4 linked regions of the Notamacropus eugenii genome follow. The protein of the gene in region 4 interacts with the protein of the main gene of each other region in a pairwise test. Links are inferred from orthologs where the notes say so. Each region holds a gene or a part of one and is shown on either strand. Other genes may lie near its edges. The genes, in order: CD2, PTPN12, UBE2W and PSTPIP1.

The links.
Region 1: the proteins of PSTPIP1 (region 4) and CD2 interact in a two-hybrid assay, tested with the Homo sapiens proteins (2 studies listed by BioGRID and IntAct). The link is inferred for Notamacropus eugenii from reciprocal best matches to the Homo sapiens genes PSTPIP1 and CD2.
Region 2: the proteins of PSTPIP1 (region 4) and PTPN12 interact in binary tests that used the Homo sapiens proteins (3 or more experiments, as listed by UniProt). The link is inferred for Notamacropus eugenii from reciprocal best matches to the Homo sapiens genes PSTPIP1 and PTPN12.
Region 3: the proteins of PSTPIP1 (region 4) and UBE2W interact in binary tests that used the Homo sapiens proteins (3 or more experiments, as listed by UniProt). The two-hybrid records come from large-scale screens. The link is inferred for Notamacropus eugenii from reciprocal best matches to the Homo sapiens genes PSTPIP1 and UBE2W.

What each region holds. Positions count from the first base shown.
Region 1 is NC_092873.1:296,546,376-296,554,151, forward strand, and holds the start of CD2 (T-cell surface antigen CD2), read left to right. Parts: upstream 1-4,774; 5' UTR 4,775-5,107; coding exon 5,108-5,168; intron 5,169-5,491; coding exon 5,492-5,797; intron 5,798-7,332; coding exon 7,333-7,587; intron 7,588-7,776. UniProt on the Homo sapiens protein: CD2 interacts with lymphocyte function-associated antigen CD58 (LFA-3) and CD48/BCM1 to mediate adhesion between T-cells and other cell types. CD2 is implicated in the triggering of T-cells, the cytoplasmic domain is implicated in the signaling function.
Region 2 is NC_092874.1:153,756,055-153,763,968, forward strand, and holds the start of PTPN12 (tyrosine-protein phosphatase non-receptor type 12), read left to right. Parts: upstream 1-4,913; 5' UTR 4,914-5,376; coding exon 5,377-5,475; intron 5,476-7,914. UniProt on the Homo sapiens protein: Dephosphorylates a range of proteins, and thereby regulates cellular signaling cascades. Dephosphorylates cellular tyrosine kinases, such as ERBB2 and PTK2B/PYK2, and thereby regulates signaling via ERBB2 and PTK2B/PYK2.
Region 3 is NC_092875.1:294,725,288-294,732,889, forward strand, and holds the start of UBE2W (ubiquitin-conjugating enzyme E2 W), read right to left. Parts: upstream 3,011-7,602; 5' UTR 2,951-3,010; coding exon 2,735-2,950; intron 1-2,734. UniProt on the Homo sapiens protein: Accepts ubiquitin from the E1 complex and catalyzes its covalent attachment to other proteins.
Region 4 is NC_092872.1:256,747,260-256,754,849, forward strand, and holds the start of PSTPIP1 (proline-serine-threonine phosphatase-interacting protein 1), read left to right. Parts: upstream 1-4,578; 5' UTR 4,579-4,744; coding exon 4,745-4,777; intron 4,778-7,590. UniProt on the Homo sapiens protein: Involved in regulation of the actin cytoskeleton. May regulate WAS actin-bundling activity. Bridges the interaction between ABL1 and PTPN18 leading to ABL1 dephosphorylation.

The sequences.
Region 1 (7,776 bases), on a different chromosome or scaffold from region 4:
GATATTAATTTCATATAACAAATAATTTAAAAATATTACAATTATTTATGTACACAGCGCCTGGCACATAGTAAGTGCTTAATAAGGGCTTGTTGAATAGAACAAGTACTTTTAAAAGCACAATAAATATGCAAAATATTAACACCAAAATATTAACACCATTAAAATGTTTAAAAATATGCTTCAGTTCTATTTTATGGTTAATTAAGAGGGACAGGGGAGAAAAGTAAAGAAGGGTACATAATAGGACTGGCAATGATAGAAAAAGAGAAAAATGTAGGAGCAACGTAGAGAGAGTTACAGAGGTACATAATTTAATTCAATTCAACAAAAATTTGGCTACCTATATTATACAAGGTCTTTTGGGGGGATTTGTTGTTCAGTCGTGTCCATCTCTTTGTGACTCCATTTGGGGTTTTCTTGGCAGAGATACTGGAGTGGTTTGCCATTTCCTTCTCCAGTTCATTTTATAGATGAGGAATCTGAAGCAAACAGGGTTAAGTGATTTGCTGAGGATCACACAGCTGTGCTCACTTAGCCTGGTGTCTAAGGCCTTGATTCCTATTCCAATCTTCTTTCCACTGAGAAGAGCAGTATATGAAGACTTTTAGGGGCTGAATCCTTGCACTTACTCTGATTCAAGCCTTGGTTGCTCACTAACACTTCTCTAGCCAATCTGTTGCCAAGTCTTGTTTCTTTTTTCATAACTTCTCTCGCATCCATTCCTCCTCCCATTCACTCACCATCACCCTAGCCATCATTCCTTCTCACCCGACCTGTCTCAATGGCCTTCCATCTGTTTGCCTCAAGCTTCTCCATTTGGATCTGTCCTCCAAAGAACTGCCAAAAGCTTCTCTTTAAGAGCAGTTCAGATTGTGTTATTCCTTTGTTCTATAAACTTCAGTAGTTCCCTGTTACTTCAAAGATCAAAAATAAATTCCTCTATTTGACATTTCAATATGTTTATAACCTGACCCTTCTTACATTCTTGGTCTTTTCCTGCCATACTCTTCTTGGACTTGGTCCAGGCATGGTGGCTTACTCACCATTCCAAGAATTGACATTCAGTTTCCTGTTACTGTGCCTTCTCTTTATTGTATTTCTCTGTTGTTTTTCTCTATATTTCAGGTCCCTGGGGTCTGAAATACACTGTCCAATCACCTCTGGTTCTTATAACCCATGATTTCCTTCAAGACTCATCTCAAGCATTACTTTCCATAGGAAACCTTTCCTCATCCTTCCAATGGCTAGCGTACTTTCCCCAAAATAGCTTGTATTCATTTTGTATCATGTTGTTGTTGTTTAGTCATTTCAATTGTATCTGACTCTTTTGTGACCCTATTTGGGGTTTTCTTGGCCAAGATCCTAGAGGGGTTTGCCATTTCCTTCTTCAGCAAATTTTGCAGATGAGGAAACTGAAGCAAACGAGGTTAAGTGACTTGCCCAGGATCATACAGCTGGTGTGTCTGGATTTGAACTCAGTTCTTCCTGACTTCAGGCCTTGTACTCTATCCACTGTGCTGCCTAGCTGTCCCCCAGGAGTGTGTGTGTATGTTTGTGTGCATGTGTGTGAATACACATATGTATATATGTAAATATATGTGTGTACATACATAAATTATATGCATCCCTACCCACCTATGAACATGAATATTAAGTGTGTAATAAAGATGTGTATTAAAAAAAAAAGATGTGTATTGATTGACCCTGGTTGGCCTTCCTAAATTTCCCCCTAAATGTCTTCCTTTCTCAAAGGTACCAAAGAAAAGACGATCTGGAGGCCACTGAATGGGTCAGCAGCAGCAAGAGTATGTCTGCCCATGTTAGGATTCTTATTTTGATATCTCCTAGCCTTCTTACACAGAGATGAAGATGTTTCAAATGTTAAGTAGGGCAGAAGCTTTTTCTTTTTAGTTGAGAAGATCAGGTGAACTAAATCACAGAATTATTAAATCTTAGACTGGAAAGGAACCTTGATGATTAAGTCCATCCCCTATTTTACAAGAGAAGGAAATTGAGCTAAAGAGAGGAAAAGGATCACTGGATCATAAATTTTGAGATGGAAGAGACCTCAGAAGCCATGTGGTCAAAACTGTTCATTTTAAATATGAGTATGACAAAGGCTAAGGTAGGTTACGTGGTTTGCCCAAGGTCTCACAGAGGAGATTTGAAGCCAGGTCCTCTAAAATGTTCAAGTTGACCCAGCCGGGGCAGTTCCTGCTACACCATCTGCGATCAACCCTGAGTTTTGCTTCTATTTTCATTTTTTCTCCCGTTAAAAGAGATGTTCTATGGGTATCAGTTCCCTTATAACTACAAAACACATTTTGAAATTTCAAAAGAATGAACTCTCCCCAATGGACTGATGATTCACGGTGCTTTAGAACAGGGCAGTTTGTTTGGACAATGCATGGACTCAAGGGCAACTCACCCTTGAAGCTCACTCACCTGGGCTGGATTTGATCTAGGTTCCCATTCTTCCACTTGCCCTTTTAGAACTTTCTGACTTAATCCTTGCTTTACCTAAGATAGGATAGGTTGAAGGAACTAGGACTGTTTAACTTGGAGAAGAGAAGGTTCAGTGGGGAACATGAATGCTAAGTATTTTCAGGTCTGTTAAGTGGAGGAGAGATCCAATTTGTTCTTTGGACAGGACCAGGAGAAATGGGTGGAAGTCATAAAGTAGCACATTTAGGTCTGATGTCAGGGAAGACCTCCTGAGAGAACTATCCAAAAGGAGAATGTACTGCCAGAAAGGGTGACTGCAGGAGTCTCTGTCATTAATGGTTTTCAAGGGCTGGATGGCACTTTGGGGGATTTTTATAGGAGAGTTTCTTTTGGGGGCCTGAGTCAGACTAAATGGTCACTGAGGACTACTCCAACTTTAAAATTCTGCGATTCTGTCAATTCTGGGTCCTTTCAATTGTTCACATAGCCAATGGTGCCATCAAAACACATTCCCACTTTACATCCCAGTGGATGTGAGGAGCACCATGTTTCATACTCAAGAGACAGTCCATAAATAATGGGGTAAATCAAAATGAAAATTTGGGGTCTAGCTTGTTATTTTAGTGGGGTAGATTTCTTGATGTTTGATTGCTTTCCAGGTAGATTAATTTCCTCCCTCCCCTATATTTTTTTTTGCCTTTAGTAAATGTAACATTTTACCAACCTTCCCCTTCCTCTGTTATCCGCTGGAGTTCAGTGGTCATACACAGACCTTGGCTTGAAGTTCCAAGTTTCTGCATCTCCAGATGCCAAGGCATTCCAGGTTCAGTGCTGCTTTTGGAATCAGAGGATTTGGGTTCAAATAATGACTTTGCTTCTTCGTACCTGTGTGGGTGACCTTGGATGAGTCCCCTCACCCCCTGGACCTCACCTCCCTTTTCTTTCCTTTTGAAAGGAGGGTATTGTATTAGGTGACCTTAAGCTCCCTTGCAACATTAAATCCATAATCCTTTGATCTTCTCTCTTTCTTTTTTTTTTTGACAGCAACAAAAAGAATCTTGACCTAATTCCTCCAAAAGCCCCATGATGCTCTCTGTCAGCACTGACCTTTCTTCCCTTGGACATCACATAACTTTTGCACCTCTCTTAGGAATTATCATTTATTATTTTGCATTATAGTTATTTGCATATGTGTCATATTTCTCCTACTTGAGTGTAATTATTCCATCTATACTGTGCAACTGTCCCCTCTGCTTAGCTCAGTACTCAGGATACAGGCCTAAATGTTTGCCAAATTGAAATGAAAGAAAGAATGCTGTAGGAACTAACCTGTAGGGGTTCTTAACCTGAGACCATTGTATTTGCTTTTTAAAATATTTTAATAACTGTATTTTCCTATATTCTTAGTAATTCTGTGTATTTTATTTTGTATATTTAAAAACATGACTGAAAAGAAGTCCATAGGCTTCCCAAGATTGTCAGCGGAATTCATGGCACAAAAAAGGTTAAGAACTTATGGTCTAAACCTTCGGTCAAAGGCTAGAATACAAACCCTTCCAGACACACTGGGTTGGGGTAGTGTGAGAGGGCAGGATGAGGAAGTGAGGAAGATGGTGTGGGAACAGTATATTGTAGTGGATAGAATATAGGAGCTGTAATTTGGAAGTGCTGAGTTCAAATCCCATCTCTGGCACTTCCATGAAGCAAGTCACTTAAACTCATTGACATTCAATCTCTTAATCTAGAAAATGGGGATAATAGCACCTGCTGCCCCCACCTCAGAAATGTTGCTGAACCTTATGCTGAGGAGTCCATAGGCTTTATCACACTACCAAAGAAGTCCATGGCCCAAAAAAAGTTTAAGAATCGCTTCTCTAAATACATATTTTAAGATAAGGTAACATTGCAAAGTACTTATGTGAAAAAATAAAGAATGACAAATAATTGGAGGGATTAATATAGTGCTTATGGGTGTGACAAATAACAAGAAAAAAAAGATATTGCCCAAGTTTAAAAAAATCTTACTGTATGGATCAAACAAAATCATGTGTAGAAAGCACTCTGCGAACTCTCCATGAATATTGGTTAGACCATTCACAAAAGCAAGAGGAGATCATTCCTCTATTATCAAAGGGTTTACGACTGGGCACTATTTATAGGTAAGAAGCCACAAAAACAAGAAAGTCTCTGGTGGGCGCCAGTAATGTAATTTCTAGCACTCAAGTAGTCTTAAAACAGATCAGATCTTGTGAGATCACAGTGCCCACTTTAGCTCCATTTCCTGCTTGTCTGTGTGAAAAAGGGGGAAGAAGCCGTAAAGGGGAGCAGGAGGGTAGAATGAACTTTGGAAGACCTTGAATACTCTAACTCCTCCCCATAATTCTGCTGTTTCCCTTCACTGAACATTTGAAGACAGTTTATGCTTAGAGAACTCTTTTTCTGTCCTTGTGCCTACAGCAAGCTTGGCATCCTTCCCCTGATCTCCACCCTTCCCATCCCCCTATCTCCACCCAGCCAAATTAGAATACTGTACCTTTAGTAGTTTGAACTCTTAAATACAAATGTAGGAGAAACAGAAAGACAAGCGGTTCTGCTGGAGAATTGCCACTTCTCACTTTGATGAATTTTGGGTAACCCAAGTTGGAGATACCTTCCAAAGATGAACTTCCAAAGTCACGTTTTAGTCATCTACCTGCTTCTTTTGTTCTTTTCCCCAAAAGGTAAGTGAACTGTTTGGGTCTCTGTTGGTTCCTCCATCTTCCTGAGATATTTAGAGAAGCTGCTTTTAAAAAAACCAAACTTCTGAGTGTAGAAATCTAAGGGGATTTGAAACAGTTTCTCTTCCTTGTGGGACTATCCCCTTGTACATTCTCTTGTCTTCTTTTTCCTTTTAAGAGCACTGGATTAGAAGTCAGGTAAGACCTACAGTGTAGACCCAGCTCAACCGCTTGTTCTTTAGCTCTGGGACCTTGGGGGGGACCCAATCTCTTCAATGGTTTCCTGATATCTGATGATTCTACAATGTCCTTGCTTTCTTTAACAGATGTCATGGCAGAAAACAATGATGTTTGGGGTGTACTAAATCAGTCCATCCTTTTGAACATCCCTGATCTCCCGAAGGACCAAGATAAACATGATATACGGTGGTATGAAGGATCGACTCTGATTGCAAAAGGAAATGTAAATATTCCCAAGGCTAACCATGAAAGTCACAACTATGAGATATTCCCAAATGGAACCTTGAAAATTAAAAAACTGCAGAAAACCTCTGAGCAAAACTACAAGGTGTCAGTGTATGATAAAAATGGCAGAAATGTGTTGGAGAAAGAATTGACTCTGCATGTGATAGGTGAGTATTCCTTTTCTCTGTCTCCTTCATTGGTGGTTGCCCATCAGGCAATCAACATTTCTATGGTCTTTTCCTGGCTAGGGATTTTAATAAAGGACTGGTTAGTGGAGAAACAAATGGGAAGCTGATAAGGTTTTGACTATGGATGGATGCTCCAGCTGAAATTTCATGTCATGTACTTCATGAGGAAGGTGTCTTCTGATGACCTGATTCCCCATGTGATCTCCCCCCACCCCAATTCTTGCCTCGTTCTGTTGTTTTTCCCATGTCCTCAGTAACCTAATCCCAGGCTTCTACATGAGGCAACTTGTTAGCTGCAGGAGGAAGATGACATGAAATGAAAAATGAATGGAATTCCCTAAATATGCCCAGACTTTATGATTTCATCGGCATAGGAAAGTGCTAGTGTGATGTACCCTGTGCCAATGAAGATTATGCACTCATCTACATTTAATCAAAATTGCTATAAGTGTCTTGTCCAGGGTTGCAAACTAAATATGAATCAGAGGCAAGCTTTTTTTTTGGTGAAGGGGAGGCAATTGGGGTTAAGTGACTTGCCAAAGGGTGACACAACCAGTAAGTGTCTGAGGCTAGTTTGAACTCAGGTCCTCATGACTCCAGATCTGGTCTCTATCCACTGCACCACCTAGCTCACCCAGATGTCAGACCTGAACACTAGTCTTCTCAACTCCAAAGCCAACCCTCTCAGTTATGATACAATATCTTCCCAAGGTCAAATAATCTCAATTAAAAGACCTTATAGTTCACTTAGCTTGATACCTTACCTGTGATATAGATTCCTTCTGTAACCTCACTAACATATGGTTATTGAACCACTTCTTACACACTACCAGGCATGGAAAATTCATTATTTCATGAAGCATCCTGTTGTATTTTCTTTCTAGGACTTCTTGCCCACCCTTTCCCTCCCCCTTCTCCTTAATAGTACAAGGTAACTTCTTTTTTTACATTTCCATTCTCAAAGCACCTTTGTCTTCCCCAGTAATCATAGGAAGCAATCTTAATTTCGAGCTAAGTAAAAATCTTACTGTAGGTATACATTCACATTCTAGTCACCTTCTCTACCTTTTATGCCTTGGGAAATACTTATTCCTAAATGGTCCCACTAGACTAGTAAGTTCTGTGAGGGAAAGACTGGTTTAACTAAATCTTTCATGTCCCACAGCACCTAGCCCAGTGTTCTCAAATTAAATTCAGCAAACCTTTATTAAACACACATTATGTACAAGGTACAGTGCTTGGCCAGGAGGCTATAAAGATAAAAACAAGTGATCCCTGTTCTCATGGAGTTTATATTCTATTGCAATGCAGTAGGCATTAAAATGTTTGTTGAATGTAATGGAACTACAGTGGCCTGTCACCCATAAGATTTTCACACCTGACCAGGGCCTGAGAGGCATATTCCCAATCCCTACTTTGCTTTGAGTCCATGTGGGCTACACAAACTAGAACCAATTTTCCATTCAGGGATGTTCTCAAAGTAAATGGAGTTTTATTTTTTTTTCTTTTCAAAGAGGCTGTTTCAAAGCCAGAAATGACATGGAACTGCACAGAGGGAAGTATAATTTGTGAGGTTCATAATGGGACTAATGCTGAGCTGATCTTGTTTGATAATGGGACACAGCCTCTAAAGATGGGGAACTTGAATAAAGAGGGCATGAGGCTCAAGTACACCTGGCCAAAGAACGACCCACTACCAAGGGAATTCAAATGTGTGCTGAAAAACCAAGCCAGTGAGGAGTGGATTGTGGACCAAACTCCCTGTACAGGTGTGTAGTTGGCAGCGGGTATGAATTAACCATGTTCATAACAACCATAATAACTGACATTTATATAGTTATAAATGTATATATATATATATATATGTATGCTTTTAAATGAGTAAAAACAATTTCTGTACTTTATCTGACTTGAGCCTTATAACAATTCTGTGAGAAAGATACTAGAGATATTATTAT
Region 2 (7,914 bases), on a different chromosome or scaffold from region 4:
ATGTCAAGGGCAAGATTTGATCATCTAAGCACTAGCTAGGCTGCCTCTCAGTCTCTAATGAAGAAAAATAGTATGGAAAATATGAAAGACAATAAGAAAAGCCAGAGGCATGGCCCTACAATATTGCATTGTCTTGTAATTAGTATTAATTGCAGCTGCAGTTAGCATTTATTGCATAACATACTTTGGAGCGCCCTCAGTGCAAGAGTATTTGTTTCATTCAATGCTGTCACTAACTATCTGGGTGACTTTAAACAAATCATGTTTTGCGCTTCATATTGTACAGATAGAAAAGTAACCCAGGATTTTTAAATTACAGACACGAAGCTCTGAGGATAAATTATACAAAGCATTCAAAAAATACTTTGAAATATCAAGCACTAGGCAAGTAATAACAGGAAATTTATTCTCTCTCTCCCTATTTGAACTCTCCATTTGAATGTGCCATATGTCTAAGATTATGGTATTACTATCCTAGATGATCAAGGAGAGAAGTAATGTTCCTCTTTTTCTCCACTGGCATTTAGATAAGTCCTTTGGATAAAGGTTGTTTTCCCCAATGAAACACACATTTCTCCAGTACCGTGGCACAGTGGATAGAGTGAAGGACCTAGAGTCAAGAAAACTCTTCTTCCTGAGTTCAAGTTTGGCCTCAAGACACTCGGTAGCTGTGTGACTCTGAACAAGTCACTTAACCCTGTTTGCCTCACTCTAGTGTCTTTGCCAAGAAAACCCCAAATGGGATCATGAAGAACAGGACAGGACTGGATTGACTCAACAACAACAAAAATGCATAAGGCATCATCCTAAGTGCTGGGATACAAGGACAAAATGAAAAATAGTCCTTGTCCTCTAGGAGTTTACTGTAAACAGGAGATCCAGGAGGGTGTAAAGATAAGAGAAGACTTTCCAAGGGAAGGGGCACATAAAATGAGCCCTGAATAAAGCTAGAACTGTAAAAGGCCTAGACTAGAAGCTCATTTCAGGCATGCAAAAGCAGGGAGGCAGGAACTGTAATACCAAGCTCTAGGAAGAGAAAATAAACAGTTTTAGCTCGAATGAAGAGTGGGTAATGTGTAGTAAACCTAGAAATGTAATCTGTAACTAGGTCTTAAAAGGTTTTACATGCTATACAAGAGGCAGTATGGCACTATGCTTTAGTGGAGAGATATCTATATTGAGAATTTTCTCATCAGAGAATTCTGTATTTCAATAAAATCATAAATCTCTTTCCTATTTCTTAAATGACAAGAGTAAGGGAATGGCATGACTTGACTTTGCTGTCTCTACAATCTCCTTTTTAGAAATCCCACAATAGAAAATACAATGTTTTCTACATGCATTAATGTAAAATTTCTAAGAAAAAAATAACATTCCTTTTTTAAAACCAATACTTCTTTGAGACCAGTTCATAAAGGAGGTGGGGGAGAAAGATTCAGGGTGGCATAGGCAAAAAGAGCCCTTTCTATTTCTCCTTTATGTTTATCGATTAGAATTTAGAGAGGATCAGGCGGTTTCCTGTATCAGAGGTTCAGAATGAACTTTCACCTATCTATATCTATAAAATTTATTGATATATCTAATTTATCTTTTATTCTTCTGTAATCTAATCTATTATTCACCTATTATCTAATCCAATTTTCTATCTTTTATTCATCTATCGTCTAATCTATCTATCTATCTATCTATTCTCCTTTAAAGGTGTTACTAGGGAGATACTCAGGAGTAGATTTAATCTCCTTTGCTAGTTTCACACACATGATTCCAGTACAAAAGCATAATGACTCAGTGGTTTATGCAACAAGCTGGAAACTCAGGCCCTGTGGGTTTCTGGCCTTGCTTCTGCCATTTACTTTCTAACATGGTGTAAGTCATTTTAAATCCCCATTCTTTAGTTTCTTCACCTGTACGATGAGGAAAATTCTATCAAATTGCTTTCCCGATGCATAAGAAACAATAAAAGTAATTCACAAATTGAGTTATAATGCTATGAAAATCACAAAATGCAAACTTTTCTGAGATAATAGCTATGAAAGTGATGTGAAAATTAAAATTATTATATAGTGTAAAGCATTATTATCAGTGCTAATGTGTTGAAAGGGGTACTAGGAACTTGAAAGAAGCAAATGAATCTGAAAATTCTTTTGGACAATTAGATTTATTCTTTTTCTCACCTAAACTTTAGTGAGAGCTCTGGAAAAGTAGCAAGACTCACTGATTTGCATTCATGTTCTTTTCTGCTTCTTGACAAATTATTCCAAATAGTGGGGCTAATGAGCAATGAAACGATTAAAAAGTGAGACCAGAGAAGAGAGGAAGAAAAGCAAAGAGTTGGGATATTAAATCCTTGAAGAATCATTAACTAACATCTTCAAATCCTCTCTGTCCACTGGATCTTTCAAATATGTTCTTCAAATATGTACCGGCCTCCCTATCTTGGGAAAAATAAAACAAAATAAAATTTTGACTAGATTCCCCTCCCTCCAGCCTATATGCTACTTTTCTTTTTACTTTAATTGATAATTTTCTCAAACAAATTGTCTATACCTGCTTTCCTCATTCATTCTTAACTTATCCCACTGAAATTCAGTTTCTGATCCCACCACTACATTGATTGCACTCATCACAGTCACCAGTATCTTCTTAATTTCCAGATCCAATTGCTTTGCATTTTTCTCACAAGTTTATTTTATAAGATTAAATATAACTGAAAACAGGACAATGAAAATATACGTAGGGATAACATTTAAAAGAATCTTGCATCTCGACAGGCTAGAGTAGAGGTGTCAAACTGGTTGCCTGTGGGACTCCAAGCGTGGTTGAGCTAGATTAAGATGTAAATGGGAAATGTTTAACAAAATATATAAAAAGACAACATAGATAATATTAATTTGTGGTTTTTAAGTCAATATATGGCCCCCAGGGATCCATTTCTATTTCAATTTGATACCACAGGTCAGAGCAGCAGGTTGAATCTAACAAGATAAAATTTAATAGTGAGAAACACACTTTGGGGGAAAAAAATCCACTTTCAAATCCAAGATGGGGAGTGAGGAGGGGAGGGCACAGTTAAACAATAGTTGTTCTTCAAAAGATCTGGAGGTCTTAGTTAACTACCAGCTCGATACGAATCAACAGTATGCTGCGGCAGCCACAAGAAGCCTAATGCAGTCTCGAGCTCCACTAAGAGACCCGGAGGTTTCAGCAGCAGGGCGATGACCTGCGTACCCTGCCCTCCTCAGACCTTCTGGGGAGAACTGTGCTTGATTCTGCATGCGGAGAGTGTGGAGAGCAGGGCAAACAAGACGGTCAGTGGCCTTGAGTCTGTGACCTATGAGGGTTAGTTGCAGCAAAGGTTGGAGAAGAGATGATCTGAGGCTGGGGAGTGGGGAACAGAATGGCTACCTCCAGATATCTGAAGCCCTGTCACATAGAGAAGGTAGATTGTTCTCTCTGGTTTCGCTGGACAGAACCAGGAAAGGGTGGCAACTGCAAAGAGGTCAGTTCAGGCTTGGCATCGGAAAAGACTTGCTAATCATGCCAGCTGTCTTGTTAGGGCTCTCGTAGAAGTGCTGGGCTTCTCTTCAAGCAGATGCCCACTGCATGGATGTTACAGTTTAGATTTCCTTCATATATGGGTTGGACTAGGGGGGTGCTGAGGTCCCTGCCCCCCCCCCCCCGACTGTGAATTATATACACATGTATAACGTATACATTTTGTTACGTGTGTAAAACATCTTTTTAGGACTGGATCTATGACGTCATCTGTTTAGGGAGCTCCTGGGGATGAACCCCCTCTTCCAACCAACCTTTCTGCATCTTACAGCCTTACAGAGTCTGGGCAACCAAGACGCAGAGGACAGCAGGCCAGCTCTCTATCCATTATAACATCCACCATGCCTGTTTTCTTCAGGTTTAGTGATCTGAGTGAGATGTTGAAAAGAATTTAAAAACTGGGGCATTGGAGGATGAGATTAGTGACCTTGGGCAAGTCTCTAGACCTCTCTCGCTCTCGTTTCCTTATCTCTAAAATGGGAATAAGAATGCTTGCAACCTTCTCCCGGAGCTCTGATGAGGAAAGCCTTTTGTCAACTTTAAAATTCTTCACAAGGGAGTTAACAGTAGTTGATGTCGGAGATCCTTTCGAGAGCTTAAACTTCTGCATTCTACAGTGCCGAGCGGTGCTGTGCTTGTTCAGTCTGCACGTTCCCCAAGCAGTATGAGCATCTTCCTCATGGGGCGGTTGAGGGGAGCAAGTAAGCTCCTCCCAAAGAGCTTCACCCCCATCTAGTGAACCCGTCAGCTTCATCCGTGCACTAGGAAACAGAGAAAGATTCAACGACTACTGAACACCTAAAGCAGTTTTTGACATAGCCACAAGAACCACAATTCCCAGTAAGCCCCACTCTTCCCAGGCCGCCTCACAGACACTATCCTCTTACACTTCGGCCCCTCCTCCCGCCATCAACGTTGCATGCTGGGAATTGTAGTTCTAGCTTAGGGATGGGGAAGGGGAAAGGAAGGAAGAACTTAAACATTTTCGGGAATGTATTTTTCCTCAGTATGGGGAGCGACATACTCTCGATCCAATAGAAGTCCTACTGGGTCCTGTAAAGGCAAAGCCCTATGAGATTACAAGAACTCTTCTCCGGGGGACCTACAATATCCTGGAGAGCAAATTCTCCGGATAGCCAATTCACCACCAGGATAGTGGAGGGGCGGAACCCCTGGCCCCGGAAGGAGAGCGGTGATCGCTCCACCAGTCAAGCGACGGGTCTTCCAGCCAGTTGGAACCCGAAGGATGGGACCGGGGCCGTGCTTTACATCGGAGATTGGAAGAGAAGAGAAGGGCCGGCAGGATTGACAGAGAGTTCCGTTTGGGGCGGGGCTGAGGTCGCGGGGCCGCGCGTCGCGTCGGGGCGGCGGCGGGGACGCGCGCCTGGGGAAAGAGGTCGACTGTGCCGGGCGGAGGGGGCTGGGCAACCTAGGGGAGTCGCGTCCCGAAGGCGGCGGCGGCGGCGGCGGCGTCTCTGGCGGAGGCGGAGGCGGAGGCGGAGGCGGAGGGCGGGGAAGGAGGATGGAACCAGCTGGGGGCTGGGGCTGGTGCTGAGACGCGGCGCTTCTCCCTTCGTACGGCTCCTGGAAGTTGTGCGGGTGTTCGCCGGACGCCGGTGCCGCCCCTGCCGCTGCCGCTGCCGGCCGGGCTTGGCGGGAGAGCAGGCGGGCGGGAGGGGCCGCCGGGGCTGGCGGTGGTCGGGCAGGGAGGGGGGGAAGGGAAGGGGGAGCGACCTGGGGAAGACGGAGCGCGCTTTGCGCCGGGCGGGCGGGCGGCGGCGGGGGGGCCAGCGGCCGCAGCCGCCGGGAGGACGCGAGGCGATGGAACAAGTGGAGATCCTGAGGAAATTCATCCAGAGGGTCCAGGCCATGAAGAGCCCGGACCACAATGGGGAGGACAACTTCGCCCGGGACTTCATGGTGAGTTCTGCCCCGCCCGGGGTCGCTTTGTGTGGGTGCCCGTGCCTGAAGAGGGGGTGTCAGCGAGAGCCGGGGGCGACGGGGCGGACGCCCACCTGCCGGGCGCGGGGGCTCCTGCGGCCGCGGGGGGTGGGGCAGCCGCCGCCCCGAGCTCGGGTCCCGCGGAGCGGGAGTGGCTGTGAGGCGGCGGCTCCCTTCGTCGGTCTCGGAGACCACCTATTGTTCCCCCGCTGCCCCCGCCCCGGACACCCCCCAGGCTCTGGCGGGGCGCTGGGGTAAGTGGCTCTGGCACCTTCTCGCTGCCCTGAAGCCCCTCCTCGGTCCGCCCAGCTTTTTGCTTTGAGTGTCTGGAAAGGGTCAGGGCAGCGGGGGCTTGGGGCTGGCGTTTTCTTCCCAGTCCTGGCGTTTCCGGGGGGGGGGGGGGTAAGGGAGAAGGGTGCAATCGGTGTGTAGGGCGCATGAAGCAACTCCATGGGGTGTCTGGAGCTCTGGGTGGTTGGATTGGGGGAGGACTGGACCGCGCCTGGGTATCGCAGGTTCTCCCCCAGGTTTGCAGGAGGCATCTCCTGGAGAGAACGTGTTCAGTGTACCAAGATGTCCATAGCTTCCTGCCTGGAGCCCACGTTATTGGGGTCGTGTGTGTGTGAGGTGGAGGACAGCAGGGAAATAATGCTGAAGGAAGCCTTTTCCTAGGGGATTTTGTGCAAGGCAATGGAGGGGATGTGAATATCACTTCCTATCCGGGGTGGGGGTGGGGAACTTGGGAACAATAGTTGGGATGGGGCGGAGGCGATGGTTCTCTGGGCTGGAGGCCTGAACTGGGAGATAACCTTCCTCACTCTTCCTCCCCCTTGTGCCCCCCTCCCATTCAGTGTCGGGGCTGGACAGATGGGAAGGACGTAAAGTTGTCTGCAGGTAGATGAGTTCAGTGAGGTTAGATATCTGGAGAAGGGGAGCTCATAAAGGCAACATCCTTCCATTTTCTATTCACCCCCCCCCCCCTTTTTTTCTGGACAATGACCCCTCAAGAATTATTTCCCGTCCTGGGAGGAGGCGGTGGGAGGTGGCCGGTGGCTGCTGTTGCTCCTACGGATATTGCGCAAGACTCTGGGGCGTTGGAAACCCTGGAGGTCTGAGGAATGGAGGAGGAAGCGGGACTTTGGGAAGTGCTTACTCCTTCCAGGGCTGGTTTGGGGAGAGGGAGTTAAAAGCTGAGATCTGCTTGGGAAGGATTTTGCTCCTGAGGGAGCATAGTCTCATAACTATATTTAGAAAATGAAAAAGATGTAGTGCTGGCATCCACAGAGAGGGCTGGGGAGAAAACATCCAAACGAAGAGAGCAGATGGATTTCTTTTAAGGTTCAGGTTATCCTTAGGCTAAAGCAAAGTACCCACTGACTTGAGGTTAAAGCTTTACTGCAGAATTCCCTACTCACATGTAGGGAATTTAGATGGTAGATTTTAAAATGAATTGTGATGACTTTACAGAGCCTTGTGATTTTTCGTGTTTTTTTTCCTGAAACCTGTAACATAAGATAAGGAACAAAGATAGGTTGATGACCATAATTTGAAGCTTATTTCGAAAATGTATATTTGGGCTGCAGTGATAAAATTTTACCCAGGAGAAAAAAAGAAAAGAGTGTATGGCAAGTGGTTTAACCCTATCAGCCGGAAATGGCTATTTTTCTTTGATTTGTGTGTTTCATTCATTCTTTTTCTGTGCTTTTTGAGAAATAGAGCTACATTTAGGAGGAAAATGTAAATAAGTTATTTTGTTTTGGTTTTTTTTGATAAGAATTTTCAGTATGTTGAGATAATTTGAAATGGAGTCATTCTTCAAAGTAACTGGGATTTGGGGAGGTCCTATTTTAAATTTTTTTTTACTACACCATGATGGATGAAGATGTTTACTTTAAAATATAAACTTCCAGAAATAATTTTTTTCAGTGCTAAGGAATGAAAGAAATAGAGGAGTTGTAATCTTTGCTCATCTCTTCATTTGTTTTCTTGTTATTCTAGCTCTTCTTGGATACTTTTATCTACTTCACTTAGATACTTGAGACTTTTTCTTATGAAGGAGAAGAATTACATAATTTAATGATTCGGTACCTGTAGCTTTATGATCATTACCTCAGGTTCAGGTTCCCAATACTAGTATATCTTTAGGGAAATGTGAAATACCTTTTGGGACTTTTCTTAGATTCCTTTGAGTTGTGTAGAGGCCGCTTTTCTCTCATTGCCCTGGGGAAGAAAACTTGTGTACTCTACGTTTTAGACACAAGCCTTCCAGGGATAAATTATTAATTAAACTATTTCATTTCTGAGTATATCTGCTTAGGGAGAGAGAAATAAAAAAATGTCAATCTCAGTTTGCTTCCATAATTATAAGGCATTGCTTGGTGACTCCAGTTCCAAGGTTTGATGACTAAGGTCTGTCTC
Region 3 (7,602 bases), on a different chromosome or scaffold from region 4:
AATAGTAAGAGAAATATAAAATTACAATAGCTGAAATTACCTAACACCTTGCAAAATTGCAAAAAGAAAAAAAAACAGTCAACATTAATGGGGCTGTGGGAAGGCATGAACATTAATATTCTGTTGATGAAGATATAAAGGGAAAGGAATAAGTATTTATATAAGTACCTACTGTGTGCCAGACACTGTGCTGCGCACTGGACAAACAGCTCATTTGATCCTCACAATATTTTTGTAAGGTAAGACCCTGTTATTATTCCCACTTTACAGCTGAAGAAACTGAGGCAAAGAGACATTAAGAGACTTGCCCAAGATCACATAGCTAATAAGTGTGTGAGATGGAATTTGAACTCAGGTCTTCATGACTCCAGATCCACAGCTCTTTCCACTGTACAAATTAGGTGCCTTATCCATCAAATGGTTTGATAGCTCTGGTTATCAATTTGGAATTCTGAAAGAAAAGGGAACTTAACTGTCCATATTCTTTGACCTAATGATCCAGCAAAACATTCATAGTAGCACTCGTTATAGTAGAAAAAAAAAGTAAACAATGATATAGATTCCATTGACTGGGAAACGGTTGGGAAAAAAAACCAATTATGCTGTATGAATATTATGCATCCGGAAAAAAGAGATTTATATGACCTTGGAGCACAAAATAAACAGAACCAAAGAGTAACATATCTCATGACTACAACTATAGAAATGAAAAGATCATTTAAAGGAAGTTGAATTGAGTACAGTTAACTGGAAAAAAAATGAAGGATCCAAAGAATATATAATGAAATATAGTTCCCTCCTCACAGAAGCAGGGAAATGATACTAGGCTAGAGTATTGTATTGTAAGATATAGTTATTGTATCAGATGTTATTTTCTAATTGTTTTAATTTGTTATAAGGGAGGGCCTCAATCTGAAAGGATTTCTATACTCTAATCATCCCATCTTCCCTTTTAAGAAATGACCAATGTAAAAGACAAAAAAACATGAATAAAATCATCTTCCAAAATAGTCTTGTAGACTTAAATTTCAAGGTTTTTCTATCATTCAAGAGACTTGACTTTTCTTTATGATCAAAAGCAAAGAAAGTGTTAAGGCTTGCACATCAGAGAGTGTATACCAACATTTTAGAATTTCAAATGCAGGGGATAACTTTAGTGTTAGAGATTCCAGAATAAAATTTCAAATATATTTCTAATTAACAAAAACAAAACCAGTTTTCTTCCCCAGTTAGCTAGTCTAAAGTCACTAAAAGCTTTAGGACAAAGAGTGATGCTTGGAACACAAAACATGCATACACATACACATATACATATACATACTGTGTGGACTACATTTTTCATACTGCCTCTGTCTGTCAAACTCTAAGTTGATAAAAATTGAGTTCTGTCCCAACTTGGTTTCTGCTCACAATTCAAATTTCCCTTCTCATTTTCAAAAAAAAAAAAAAACCAGTTATAATCTTGTCTTTCAGAACCTCAGATCTAATTTTACTCTTAATATTTTGCTGCAAGTCACTATCACTGTAATACACTCTACCAAATAATCCCATATGATAGTTTTTCCCCCACAATAAAGGTTATTTGAACATTTAGTTCAAATTCTATTTAACATAGGGTTTCTCCCTACATTTCTCCTTCTGAGTCTTAAATGATAGATGGACTTTCCATCGATCCTCCGTGATCAAACTCTCCTGAGTACTTAATACTCCGAATTTTTTCCACATATTGAACTGACACTTTCCCCTCAAATTAATTTAATTACATCTTTCCTTGTATTTCTTCAACAAAAATAAATATATAACCTTTTGTGTGTTGCATGAAAGAGTAGGGAAGGAAAGGCAAGAGAAAAAGCACAGAGAATAATAAAAGGAGAATGAGGTAAATGGGAACAAAGATGGTGTGTGCACAAAAGGGGAAGGATGCAGAAAAGGGAAGAGGAGAAAAGGAAGATCGTGTTGTCACAGCTTACAAAGAGAAAAAGCTGGGAGGAGTTTACATTTTTCAGAAGCCAAAAAACAAAAGAGCTATTTTTAACGGCGTGAAGCAAAATGAAGCAGTTTTGTTCCCTGAAGAGTTAAGTCCTTAAGCTCCAAAAATCCTGAGCTGACAGCTCACACCTCGGACTTAGTTTCTCTTCCAAGCAACTAACATTTTCGTAATTCTAGTCACCTTTGAATGAACACATGTGCCATCCATTTCAACGAACTAGAACACTGCCATCTGTCCAGGCAGTCTTCGGACGGTACAGTATCGATAAGGGTCTCTAACTCCTCATCGAAAACTCCAGTGGAAATGACATTAATAAACTCCCACTAAAAAGCGTTTCGCTAAAATGTTTGGAGAAAGGAAAGCAGAGGACGGTAAAACTGCGACCAAGGTTAAAAGTAGGGTACTTAGTTCTGGGGGCCGGGGGGATTACACATCGGGTGAGGAAGCAGCAGAGGAGCCGGTACGTGAAAGTTTCGGGGAGACCCAGACTGGAGCATTATTGGGTGAGACTTTAAACAGTGGGAGGATGTCCTACATAAGGTACGGGGCAGGGGAGAGCCAGAGGCGAAGGCTGCCGGTCAAGGGAGTGACTGTAGCTACAAGGAGCACTGGATTCAAGGGCGAAGGGGAAGGTATTTTACTCATAGAGGTGGGGAGCAGAGGCAGCGGGAGAAGAAGGGAAGGAAGGCGGCCAAAGGAAGAGCCTCGGAGGCCCGGCCGGAGCCGCCGTCCCCGGGGACCGACCTCGGGGTCTCTCGGTCTCTCCCACTTGACACAGATCCTCCCTCTCACTCCGGTCTGGACGCCGAGGCGGTCACGAAGCCCACGGGGAAAACAGCTGTTTCCTTTCGGGACAGGGAGAAGGGCAAGCAGGGGAACCTGGGCCGTGAAGGCAGAGGGGAGCGGCCGGGGGGCCACGGCTCGGGCCAACCCAGCCCTCCGCACCCTTCCCCCCACCATTCCCCCAACTTCTCCGGCTCCGGGGTCGGCTAGGGCGGGCCGGTGGTACCCCGCCTTCCCCGCGGCCGCCGGGGGCGAGGAGAGGCGGAGCCGGCCCGGCGCCGCAGACCCCGGCAGGCTCGCAGCCCTCCGCTCCCGCGGCCGCCGCCGCCGCCCTCAGCCAATCCCACAACCTCACCCCTCCTCAGCCGGGCGTTCGGATGCCGCAAACTCCTCTCACCTGCATGGACGCCATGATGGAACCATCCCCCCTGCCCGGCGCAGCCAGAGACGCAGGAGGAGGAGCCGCCGTGCTCGCGTCACGCCGCGGGATCCCAGGATCCGGGCTTGGGGGCGGGGGGTCGGAGACCGCAGGAGAAGGGAGAGCGAGATCCGGATTGGCCGCTGGGCCCACGAGCCGCGAGAGGGGGCGGGCCTAGGTGGGGGCGGGGCGGGAGCCCCGCAGGTGCTCACAGTTCCCTCTCCTCCTTCTCGGTCCTCTCCCCCCACCCCCCAGCCATCCCGGCCCAACGTCCGAGGCGGCCCCGCCCAGAAGCACCCGGGAAAGAATGAGGGAGGGGGAGGGGGAGGACAAGAGAAAGCGGGGGAAGGAGTTTAGTGCCAGGGCCCGGGAGGGCTCCGAGGCGAGATGCGGGGAGCCGGCTGGCCTCGGTCCGGGGATTAGCTCCTTCTGGTCCCCGCGTTCTGGACCATTCGTTTCCTCCTGACTTTCACAGTCTCGCGGCCCCCGCCCCCGGGACCCTGCCTTAGTGTGGAGCTAGCCCCGGAGGTCTCCACGTCCCCGCGGGGCGGTAGGACGAGGGGTAATCAGCGGAACCGGTCCGCCGAGATGAGCTGGGATGTGCCCGAGGACGTGCCTGCAGAGGCGGTGGGTCCGGCCCGCCCCGCGCTCGGGGAGCGCTGCTGCCGGGGCGGCCGCGGGGTCAAGCGCCGGGAGGACGGAGAAACGCCGACAAGCCCCCGGAGCCGCCCCGACCCGCCGGGCGCGGGCCTCGGAATCCTGCCGCTCCCCGGGCGGAGGCATTCCGAACTCACTGCACATCCGTGCTGGTGACTGTCCTCCGAAGTGTAGACTTTGCAAGTGCTGGCACCATTGCTGCCTTTAAATAGAGGACAGAGTCGGCGCTGGAGAGAGGTGGGGAGCGGTGTGTGAATGACTCTGAATATGTGGATCTATTTTGTTTTTTACTGTAATTTCTGTTACACATACGAACCTGTCTGAACTTCGGACGTCTGGGGATGGGGGTGCGGGAGGCGTACAATCCACAAGATCTCCCTGAACATTCGAGATCTGGAGGATGAAAAATGCTCTGTAAGAAGCAAACCTTCACCCAGGAAAAAACTTCAGACTGTCATCCGTGAAAGCAGCACGTGTATGTGAACCACCTAGGTAATGCTGTGCAAAGCAGACGCGAGTACTTCAGATTTAAAAGTATTCTAAAGTTAGAACGGTGTCTTTTACTTCTTATATTTGTCTTTATTTTGAAAAAAAATAAAAAACTTCCCATGAAATTTCAAAAGTGACTTTGAAGAAGAAGGAGTTGGAAAATATACTAATTATTCTTCATTAACGTATAGGATTTGTGATTGTTCATATTCAAGGGGGACATCTCCAAATCTTATGAAACTACATGGTTTTGATGTCAAAATATATATTCTCAGCTACAGCAGCGCTTGCTTTTACTTGCTAACTTCCCTGACCGCGTAGATTAGAGAAACTGGTTGGTTTTCTCTGTCGGAGAAAAATTAGTCAATTTTATCAACAATAGTCCGGAAGGCATGTAGTCTAAGCTGTGAAAAGACAGTTTTGTCCGGTCAAAATTACTACACTGAGAGGGAAGAAATATTCAATATTAAAAAAAAGAAGAAGAAGCTTAACAATTAGAGCTGAACTGTCAAACATGAATACCTAGACAGATCTAGCACTTTTTAAGGCAAAAATACTTGATGATCCTATGTTCACAAAAAAGGGTAATGCCTTTGTTAATGCCTTGACCCCAAACCTTATGGATGTCAATAAGGAAGAGACATTTTTCAAGAATCTGGACAAAATCATAATATCACTATCAAATCTGAAGTTGTTGGTCATATGAATTTCAATGTATTTGTTAGCAGGGATGCTAAATGCGATGGAGAAGTCATTGGAGAAATCAGAAAACTATAGAACCACAGAATTTTCTAGCTGGAAAGGTCCTTAGAGATAATTTAGTTAACTTATTTAATTCTTTAGGCCAACAAGGTGTCAGTAGTTAGAGTGCAGGGCCTGGAATCAGAAAGACTCTTCTTTTTGAGTTCAAATCTGGCCTTCACACACTTACTAGTTGTGTAACTATGGGCAAGTCTCTTAAACCTGTTTGCCTCAGTTTCCTCATCCATAAAATGATTTGAAGAAGGAAATGACAAACCACTCCAGTATCTCAGCCAAGAAAATCCCAAATGGGGTCACAAAGAGTCAAACATAACTGAAAACAACTCAACATTTAATTCTTTAGATGAACAGCATAGCAAGTACCAGCCACATGTTTCATTTATGACTTGAAATCTAAGGAACTGACAAGACCAAATGATCTAGTTAGATATTCAAAATACATTCAGAGTCATATATTATATATATGTATATATGTCATATAATATATGGTGCAGTGGATAGCGCACCAGTGCAGGAATCAGGAGGACCAGAGTTCAAATCTCACCTGAGACACTTGATACTCACTAACTGTGTGACCTTGGGCAAATCACTTAACCCCAATTGCCTCATCCTGGGTCATCTCCAGTCATCCTGATGAATATCTGGTCACTGGATTCAGATGACTGTAGAGGACAGGTGAGGCTGGTGACCTCACAGCCCTCCCTCACTCCAAACAAAGTCAAGTGCAAGTCATGTCATTATTTCTCTGATGGCCTAGTCTTCTTTGGCAATGAAGGATGAACACACACACAATATAAAGCCCCAGAATATTGATATAGGTAGCAAAGAATATTATGCCTTGGATTAACTAATGAAAAAAGCATTTGTTAAGTTAAATATTGTCATACTTTCTGCCAAGCACTGTGCTGAATGCTTGGGCTACAAATAGAAAAGAAAGACAGTCCCTGCTTTCAAAGAACTCACATTCTAACTGGGGAGACAATGTATAGAATTTACTTTCAGGACAGATGATCTTTAGAGTACAGTGGCAAAGCAGTCAGTAATACATCTTTAGTGTCATTTCCATTGATAAACCAAATCCATTTCTGATTTTGACCCTTTTTTTTCTGTTGCCAAGGATTTTAGTGGAGAGAACTTTCTTTTCTGGGGTTTCAGGAGTTTGGAAACAAGTAGACCACTCAATTTCCAAATTAAGCAATAGAATCCTACTGGATTAACTAATTGACTAAGTGCACTAAGGCCTCCTTTTGGTGATGTGAAGAACCCCTTATACAAGTACTAAAAATAGAATATAGTTTGTTGGACCTGAAATATTCATTCAGGAGAGGGCTGTTGTTGTTACCAACCTAAGAGCATCCCCATGGGGAATTTGAGGTACTTGGAGAATTGTGTTCATCAACTCATTGTGGATCTTCATTAAGTATCTGCACTTGAGACCTGTGTGCACCTGTCCCAGAACAAAGGAAAACAGAGAAAGCTGAAGTGTCTTATCCAAGGACACACAATGGTATTCGGTGGAATTTGAATTAGAACCCAGCTCTCTTTCATTCAACATTCATTCAGGAAACTTTCATTCAAAACAGACCTCCACCTTAACGATATCTCATAGTGCCAAGTGACAGCAAATAATTAATTACAAGCATCATCCTCGGCCAAACGCTATTGTACTCAAAAAACTTTGGTGGTTCTCTATTGTCTCTAAGTAAAATACAAACTCCTCTGATATTTTAAGCTCTTCATAATCATATTCTCAGAATATCTCTTATATGGGTCTCTACTCACACAGCCCCCATCTTGGTTCAGGCCCTCATCACCTTTCCCCTAGAATTCCTACAGTCTTTCCCTGCTCTAATTTATTCTTTGCTCAGGATTCAGTCATTTTTCTAAGGCATCCATCATGCCACACTCCATACCTAATAAACTCCAGTAGCTCCCTATTAGTTCTAGAATCAATTATAAAATCTCTTTGGCATTTAAAGAAAGTCCTTCATAACCCCTTCTTACCTTTTCATTCTTCTTATACTTTACTCCTCTCCATGTTAGTTTGACCCAGAAATACTAGCCTATTTACTATTTCTGGCACATGACCTTTCATATCCAGCTTCTGTTGGCGTGCTCTGGCCATACTCTCACCGCCAGTCCCATTCCCCCAGTGCTGCTTTTCCCGATCTCCTTCTTTTCAAATTCCTGGCTTCTTTTAAGACTCAGATCAAATACTACTTCTGCAAGAGGCCTTCCCCAGTATTTCCCTCCCTGACATTACCTACAAATCACAAACTCCTGAAGACAGGAACTGCTTTTGCCTTTCTCTCAATCCCCAATAGTTAGTCAGTGCCTGACATTGTAAGTTCTTAACAAATGCTTATGGACCTATTTTTTAAGACTTATTACTGCTATTCTCCTTATTGTGTTCCAACTGCTTTCATTCCACAATCATTTATTAAGATCCTGTAAGAGAAAAGTTTTAATCAACTATTAAAGGATGTAAGATGCAGCCACTGTT
Region 4 (7,590 bases):
CTATTTATCTATCCGTCTATTTATGTGTTTGTCTGTTTATCTTTTTATGTATCTGTCTGCCTGACCATTTATTTGTTTACCTACCTACCAACCTATCCACTCATCTACTTGCCTAACTATCTATATATCATCTATCTATCCACCCATTAATCCAGCTATCATTTATCTCTCTATCTCATCTATGTATTTACCCATCCACCTACCTATCAACACACATACATGTATCTGTCTCACTTCTCTGTTTCTATCTCCATATCAACTCTCCATCTCTATTTCAGTTTCTATCTCTCTATCATCTCCATCGCTTTCTCTATCATTTTGATCATCTCTGTCTTCTCAAGTTCTACTTACATTACCACTTACTGAATTCTATTTCTCTCCACATATAAGCTCTGGGATAGCATGAGACAAGCTCTTGACCAGAGAACTACAAATGCCCACATCCACCCTAGTGATGATGCAAAGGAAGAAGTCCCACAACCAAGCACTGTGGTTGCTGGAGCTGCCTCACCCCTTTGAGTTCCAATTCAACAAACATTCATTAAACACCTACTGTGTGCAAGTGGATTAAATAAAGTAATAAAAATGTCCTTATTCTCAAGGACTACGTTCAGCTGGCCCCTCCCTCACACTTCCAAAATCACAGAATATTAGAGCTGGAAAGGACCTTTGAGGTTATCTAATCTAAATCCTTCATTGGGGGGGAAAGAAAAAGAGGGGGGTAAGGAAAGAAAGAGAGAGAGGGAGGAAGAGAGGGAGGGAGGGAGAGAGAGAGACAGAGAGAGAGAGAGAGAGAGAGAGAGAGAGAGAGAGAGAGACAGAGACAGAGACAGAGACAGAGACAGAGACAGAGAAAGAGAAAGAGAAAGAGAAAGAGAGACAGAGACAGAGACAGAGACAGAGACAGAGACAGAGACAGAGAGCGAGCCATAATAGGAATTTCTGCATCAGGAATAAGAGGTACATGAGATGTACTCATTTGAGGGGGAGAGGAAGACATCATTCCTTGGAGAGGGGAGACAGATTTCTTCAGGACCCCATCATGAGATCATTCCTGGGAGTGTGTCAGCACGGTAACAGAGGAGATTGCTCCAGCTTGCCATCTGGTAGTTTCCTATTTTAAAGAAATTTTCTTACTGTGCTGGGCACAGTACTTTATTGTTTCTATGCTGCCCAAGGATGTCAACACCTTTTGTATTAGGTGCCCTGAGACAAAGCCCTGACCACCCCCCTCTAGTTAATGCTATGGCTAGAGGAGCAAAAATGATTTGGCCAAACGCTCACCTCTAATAGATGCCAGAACCTTATCTCAGATCCAAGTCTTTTTCATGCTAAGTCCAGCACTTTTTCCAATACACCATTTTCCCCCTGACTGTACTCTCACCAAATTCTTTTCTCATCAGCACTTACAAACCGGACAAGATGTAACAGCCTCCTCCCCCTTTCTGACTCCCTTAAATATCCAGGGAGAACCGCCAGTACTCCCTGCTGCCACTTTTCTCCAGATGTTTTTGAGTTCCTTCCTTGGACTTGAGGAGTCCAAGTTGCTGTCTGCTCTCCTGATTCTCCATCTTGTGATAATAATCACAATTAATACTGATATGGAACTTACTATGTGTCAGGTACTGTGCTAAGCACTTTACAATCATGATCTTCTTTGACTCTCACAACAACCCTGGGAGGTAGCTGCTGTCATGATTCCCATTTTGCAGATGAAGGAACTGAGGCAGACAGGGTTAAATGACTTGCCCAGGGTCATACCGTAAGTGTCAGAGTCTAGATTTGAATTCAAGATGAGTCTTCCTGACTTTAGGCCTGGCGCTCTAATAGGGGAGACTGGGCTGTGGGTCAGGAACAGGGTGAGGGAGAAAGTGGCACTTGGATCGTATCTTGAAGGAAATCAGGGATTCGAGGGGCTGAGGTAAAGGGGGAGAAACATAAAAAAGGTGGGTGACCATGGTACCGTCACAGGAGGGAGGAACAAAAGGAGAAGGACAGTAGGGGCTCCCTGCTGATCTGCTGCCAGACCTATGCCCTGTGCCCATGCTCCATGGGTAGTCTGGATGTCTGGGAACACACTGTGGGGTATAGTAGTAGACATGAATTTGGTGTCAAAGACCCCAGTCTGAGGAGGCTCGAAGGCTATGATCTTGTCTGCGGAATGGCAGGAAGAGCACTGGCTATAAAGGTTTATAACCTCTCTCAATAGAAAGGCAAGGCTGCACAGGGGACAGAAGGCTGACTTTGAAGCTCAGAAGGCCTGGGCTCAAATCCTGCATCTGACCCATGTTGGCTGTAGGTCCTCAGCAGTTATACGCTCATGAACAGAGAGAATATCTTCACTGGAATCTCCCTCTACAAGTGGTCTCCAAAGTGGGGGCCCCTGAGAAGCTGTAGCTCGACCCCAGTCAGATGGTGGGAAGATATCTTCTGTTGTATCCTCCCAATTCTGGGCCTTGTCTCTCTCAGGCTATGTCCCCACCTCGGACCATGCTGTGGGGCGGGGGGGCGGGGGGGTAGGGGGTGGGGAAAGCGGTGGCCCTCAGAGACTATCACTTCAGAGCAGCTGCTTCCCCAACCCTCAGCATACCCCCATGACCTTGTGGCTCCAGTGGGGTTGATTGTGCTGGATCTTCACTCTTTATGGTGGCTAGGGAGCAAGGGGCCCTTGACCAGGCCCCTTTAGAAAGCCGAGGATAGAATGAGTCACGCAGGACCAGTGAGCCCAGAGACCAGATCTCAGTCTGTTATCTTTCCTCCCAACCCACTTTTCTTCCAGACGTCCCTAGGGCTTCTAACAACACATGCATCTTTCTGGCTGCCCAGCTTTGCCCCTCACTCACCCCTGACATTCACCTGCAGAATATCCCCTTCTCTCCACCCCCACAGCCACCACCCTGGTGAAGGCCCTTATCACCTCTCCTCTGGACTATTGGAATAACCTGGTTGGTTTCCTGCCTCAAGCCTCCAATATGCTCCACTTCCATCTTCTGATCAGCTGCCAAAGGGATTTTCCTAAAGTGTGGGTCTGGTCATGTTATTCTGTTCAAGAGTAGAAGTTGCTCCCCAGTTGCTGCAGTTTGTCCTTCGTTCTCGAAGATGACCATGACATTGCAGAGGTGATGCCATGACATGCAAGTGGACTGGATTTAAGTGAGGCAGGGCTATGCAGAGTCACCAATCTCACTTTCTCCTCTAGTCAGCCTTGAGGATCCCCACTCCACCTTCTACTTGGGAGAGAGTGGAAGTATAAACCTGGTTTATATTGTGAGACTCCGAGGTCATGCTTTACTGGGGAGGGACAAGTCAGGATGTCCAAGGGCTTTTAATCTGAAGGTTCAGAAAAGCAGTATGGTCTGGGTCAGAGGTCACAGGCTTTGCAGTATTTGAGAGTCACTGAGGTGGGGCAGTGGATACAAGTATGAAAGTCTGAAGTTGGGGAAGACCTGAGTTCAAATCCAGACTTAATTACTTAGTAGTGGTGTGATTCTGGGTAAATCACTTAACTTCTCTGTGCCTCAGTTTCCTCATCTGTAAAATGGGAATAACAATAAATAATAATGGCACCTACTTCCCAGGGTGGTTGTTGTAAGGATAAAAATGACATAATGTTGGTAAAGTGCTTTGTAAACCTTAAAACTTTGTGTAAATGCTAGTTATTGGTGCTCTTGTTTGGGTCTAATTCCTGGGTTTGGGTTTACCAGTTGTGTTGCCTCAGGCAAATTATTTCCCCTCTCTGTAGGCCTCAGTGTCCTGTCTATAAAACGAGAGGGGTGACCATATGTCTTCTGCCTGGAAATGACACCTCCCAGACTTGTGATCCTGTGATCGATCCCCTCTCTCTCAAATGCCTTCCCTTCCTCCATGGGAGCCATTTCTCCTTCGTGACCCCACAAGGAATCCCCAAGATGGGCTGTTTCTGCCCCCGCTGCTGTCCGTGGGTGAGAGATGCACTGAAGATGCTAGCAGCCCTCAAGAGAGGCCTGGTCTGCCCCTTCAGCCCCAGGACCTCCCTGAAGCCAAGTGGAGAAAGGCAGAGACAGCGGTTGAACACAATGATTTCCTTGATTCAGTTGGGGGCCCTCGAAGGAAACTTACTTGCATAGGGCATCTGAGAAGCCACATTTCCTGTGTGGGGATGCTCACCATTGCAAAAGAAGGCATGGTGTCAAGATGTCATGACAGCACTGTTCCTGCAGAGGCCCAGGCCTGGGGGCTAGGGCTGGCGGCAGGGGGAGGGAGGGAGGACACCCTTCCTGCCGGTTCCTGTCTTCTTTTCTGCTTTCTGTTTCTGACTGTTGGCCCTCCCTTTGAAGGGAAGAAGGCTGCCCTCTGGGCTGGGCTTGAGAGACCATCACTTTGAAAAGAGATTCTGTAGGTACTGGGAGCTCTTCTGCAGGTCCAGCCAAGGGCAGGCCCAGGGCTTACATCACGGAGCAGCTTCTACTTCCTTATTTCAGTGGCTTCTGGACTTCTCACCAAAAAAAAAAAAAAAAATCAAAACAGGTTCAGCCCCCTTTTTTTAAACTTCAGTCCTCATTGGGTTTCCATCAACAGCTCAGAGAGAGAGAGAGAGAGAGAGAGAGAGAGAGAAAGAGAGAGAAGCAGACAGAAACACCTCAAGTGACTGGAGGGGTGAATCTCTTCCCCCCTTGGCTAGTGGGGTGAGTCAGAGGCCCGACTGGGACCTCTTCAGGCTGCTGTGCCGGCTCCAGAGAGACCTGGGCTAGAACCAGGCTGCACCATGACCCAGCTGCAGTTCAAAGATGCTTTTTGGGTGAGTGAGCGGCTTTCTCTTCCCCCAGACGGTCTGGCTGTCACCTCCCCTCTACCTCCCCAAGTTTTCCAGCTGAATAGATGTCGCTGTGTTTGGTTGACGTTTGTTAAGTGAAGAAAATGAAGGAAAAGGGCCCCCTTGGAAGTGACCTTCCCCTCCCCCCAGCTTCCTCTTGCTTCTGCCACAGTGAGAGTTCTGTTTATCCCTCTTGGTGAAGAGAGGGCTGAGGATGTATGAAAGTCTGGACTGGCCATTTTTTCCCCTTAAATGTCAAACGCTTGGTTCTATTTTCTGTTCCCTACCTTAGTCTTCAGCTTGCTCCTGGCCTGCATCCAGGGCATCCAGGTGGCATGGGACTTTCTCTCTCTCTCTCTCTCTCTCTCTCTCTCTCTCTCTTTCTCTCTCAGACCCGCCCCACCAGTGTTCCCTCCTCCCCTTGGTGGAACAGATTCTCCAGGACACTAGATTCCCTCTGGGCTCTTTGGGCCAGGTACTGAGAGGAGAAAGCCCCCTGGCAACTGACAGGCCTTGGCTTCTCGTGGGCTGTGACCCATATATGGAGGAAGATGTCCTGCCTGCCAGGCAGCTTCTGGTTCAAATGTGATACATGTTGTAGGAAAGGTCAGAGAGCCACTTGTGCTCAGAGAAATTATCAGGGTTTTTGCCCAATAGGAAGGAAGGAAATAAGCAAAATTAAGCACCTACCACAAGAGCCTTTGGAGGGAGGTGCTATTAGTACCCCCGTTTTATAGTTGAGGAAATGGAGGCAAACCAAGGTTCAGTGACTTGTCCAGGGTCACACAGCTGGGAAGTGTCTGAGGCTGGATTTGAGCTCAGGTCTTTCTGACTCGAAGTCTCAGCCTTTGGTCTGACTGAAGATTAGTGTGTGGCTCGTTCCACAGGTGAGGGTGAGGATCATAGAATCAAAAGGTGGAAGGGACCTTGGTAATCATCCTTATTTTACAGGAGAGCCACTGTCTGTAGTGTTTTGGCTTTGGGGTCAGGATGACCTGAGTTCGATGCTCGTCAGTTTGGTGGCCTGAGTTGTGACAATCTCTCTGAGCCTGTTTCCTCAGCTCTTTCAATGGGATAAGAGCATTTACCTCATAATGCTTAGCACGGTGCTTGGCGCACAGTAGGCACTTAATAATGCTGGTTGGCTGAATGACACCATAGGTTTGTTTCAAGGCTCAGATGAGATGATATGAGTAGAGGGCCACGCAAACCATCAGATTCTGTGTGATACATTTTACATCAATATGTGTGTCATCGGTTCATAGGTTGGGAGCTGGAAGGGGACCCGAGGCAATCTGTCTAGCCTGCTCATTTTACAGATAAGACAACCAAGACACAGAAAAGTGAAGTGCTGCACAGACTGAGTGCTGAGAGTTTAAAGTGTAACCTTGGCCTCTGATTTGAAATCCAGTTGACTTTGCACTGCATTGTAGGAGCTGAGGACAGGACACCTTTTCCCCCAAGATAGGCATTGCCAGGTCCTCTGGTCCATCTGGAGCCTGAATGGGAATCACCTCTGTGGCATCCTAGGCAGGGGAGTATCTAGCCTCTGCCAGAAGACCTCCAGCAATGTTGGGGAGTTCATTACTTATGAGATGGCATGTTCTATTTTGGGGAGACCTGTCATCATCAAGAAGTTTTCCCTTGTACTTCAAGTCCACAAGTATTTATTGCCTATTATGTGCCATACAGTCAACAAATTTAAGTGCCTACTGTGTTCCAGTCAGTCACTCATCAAGCATTTAAGTGCCTCCTATGTGCCAGCCAGTCAATAAGTATTGAAGTTCTTATTACGTACCAGTCAATTCGATATCAAGCATTTAAGTGCCTACTATGCGCCACCTAGTCAATTAGCATTTAAGCACCCACTATGCACCAACCAGTCACTTATCAATCATTTAAATGTCTACTATGTGTCAGCCAGTCAATAGACATTTATTGGACACCTACTATGTACGAGGTACTGTGCAGAGTGCTGGGGATACAAAAAAAGACCAAAGAGAGCCCCTGCCCTCAAGGAATTCACAGTCTAATGGAGAAGACAACAAGGCAACAGCAACATTCAACCTAGCCATAGATAGGGTAAAACAGAGGAGATCTGAGGGGGTCACTCTGCAGGTAGTTCAACTGCTTCTGTATACCTTCCCCCAGACTGGGTCAGGCAGATCTGGTCTCTGACATGGAGGCCCTTCAGTTCTCTGAAGACAATGACTACTCCCTCCTAAGCCCTCTCTTCTCCAGTTCAGAACGTGCCACTTCCTCTGCCCAGTGTTGGTATGGCGTGGCTTCCAGGCCTCTCTCACTGCCCCTTTTGTCCTCCTCTGACCCTTGCTGACTTGACACCCAGAATGGAGCCTACTATGCAGGCGAGGTCTGACTGGGGAAGTGGGATTATTATCCAATAGCCTGAGATGATGTGAGCTTTGGGGATGCTGGTTCATGCCATGGGCTCACCCTGCACCTGTGGTCCACCAGAAATAGAGCCCCAGAATCTCAGAGTTGGGCAAGGCCTCAGGAGTCCATTCATCCATCTTGACCTAAACAAGAATTCCCCTTGATGTCAAATCAGCCATCTCTCCTTTGCTGGGGGAAGGGGAAGCCCCCTCCCTCTGGAGAGAACCCATCCCACTTTGAATGTTTATCATTGTTTGAGTGGTATTATGGAATAGTAGAGAGAGCACTGGACTTGTTATAAGGACCTGGATTCAAATCCTGCCTCAGACACTGGTTCTTTGTCCTTGCTAAAAGGCTGCACTGTACCTCAGTTTCCTCATCTGAAAAACTGAGGGTGAGGGTGC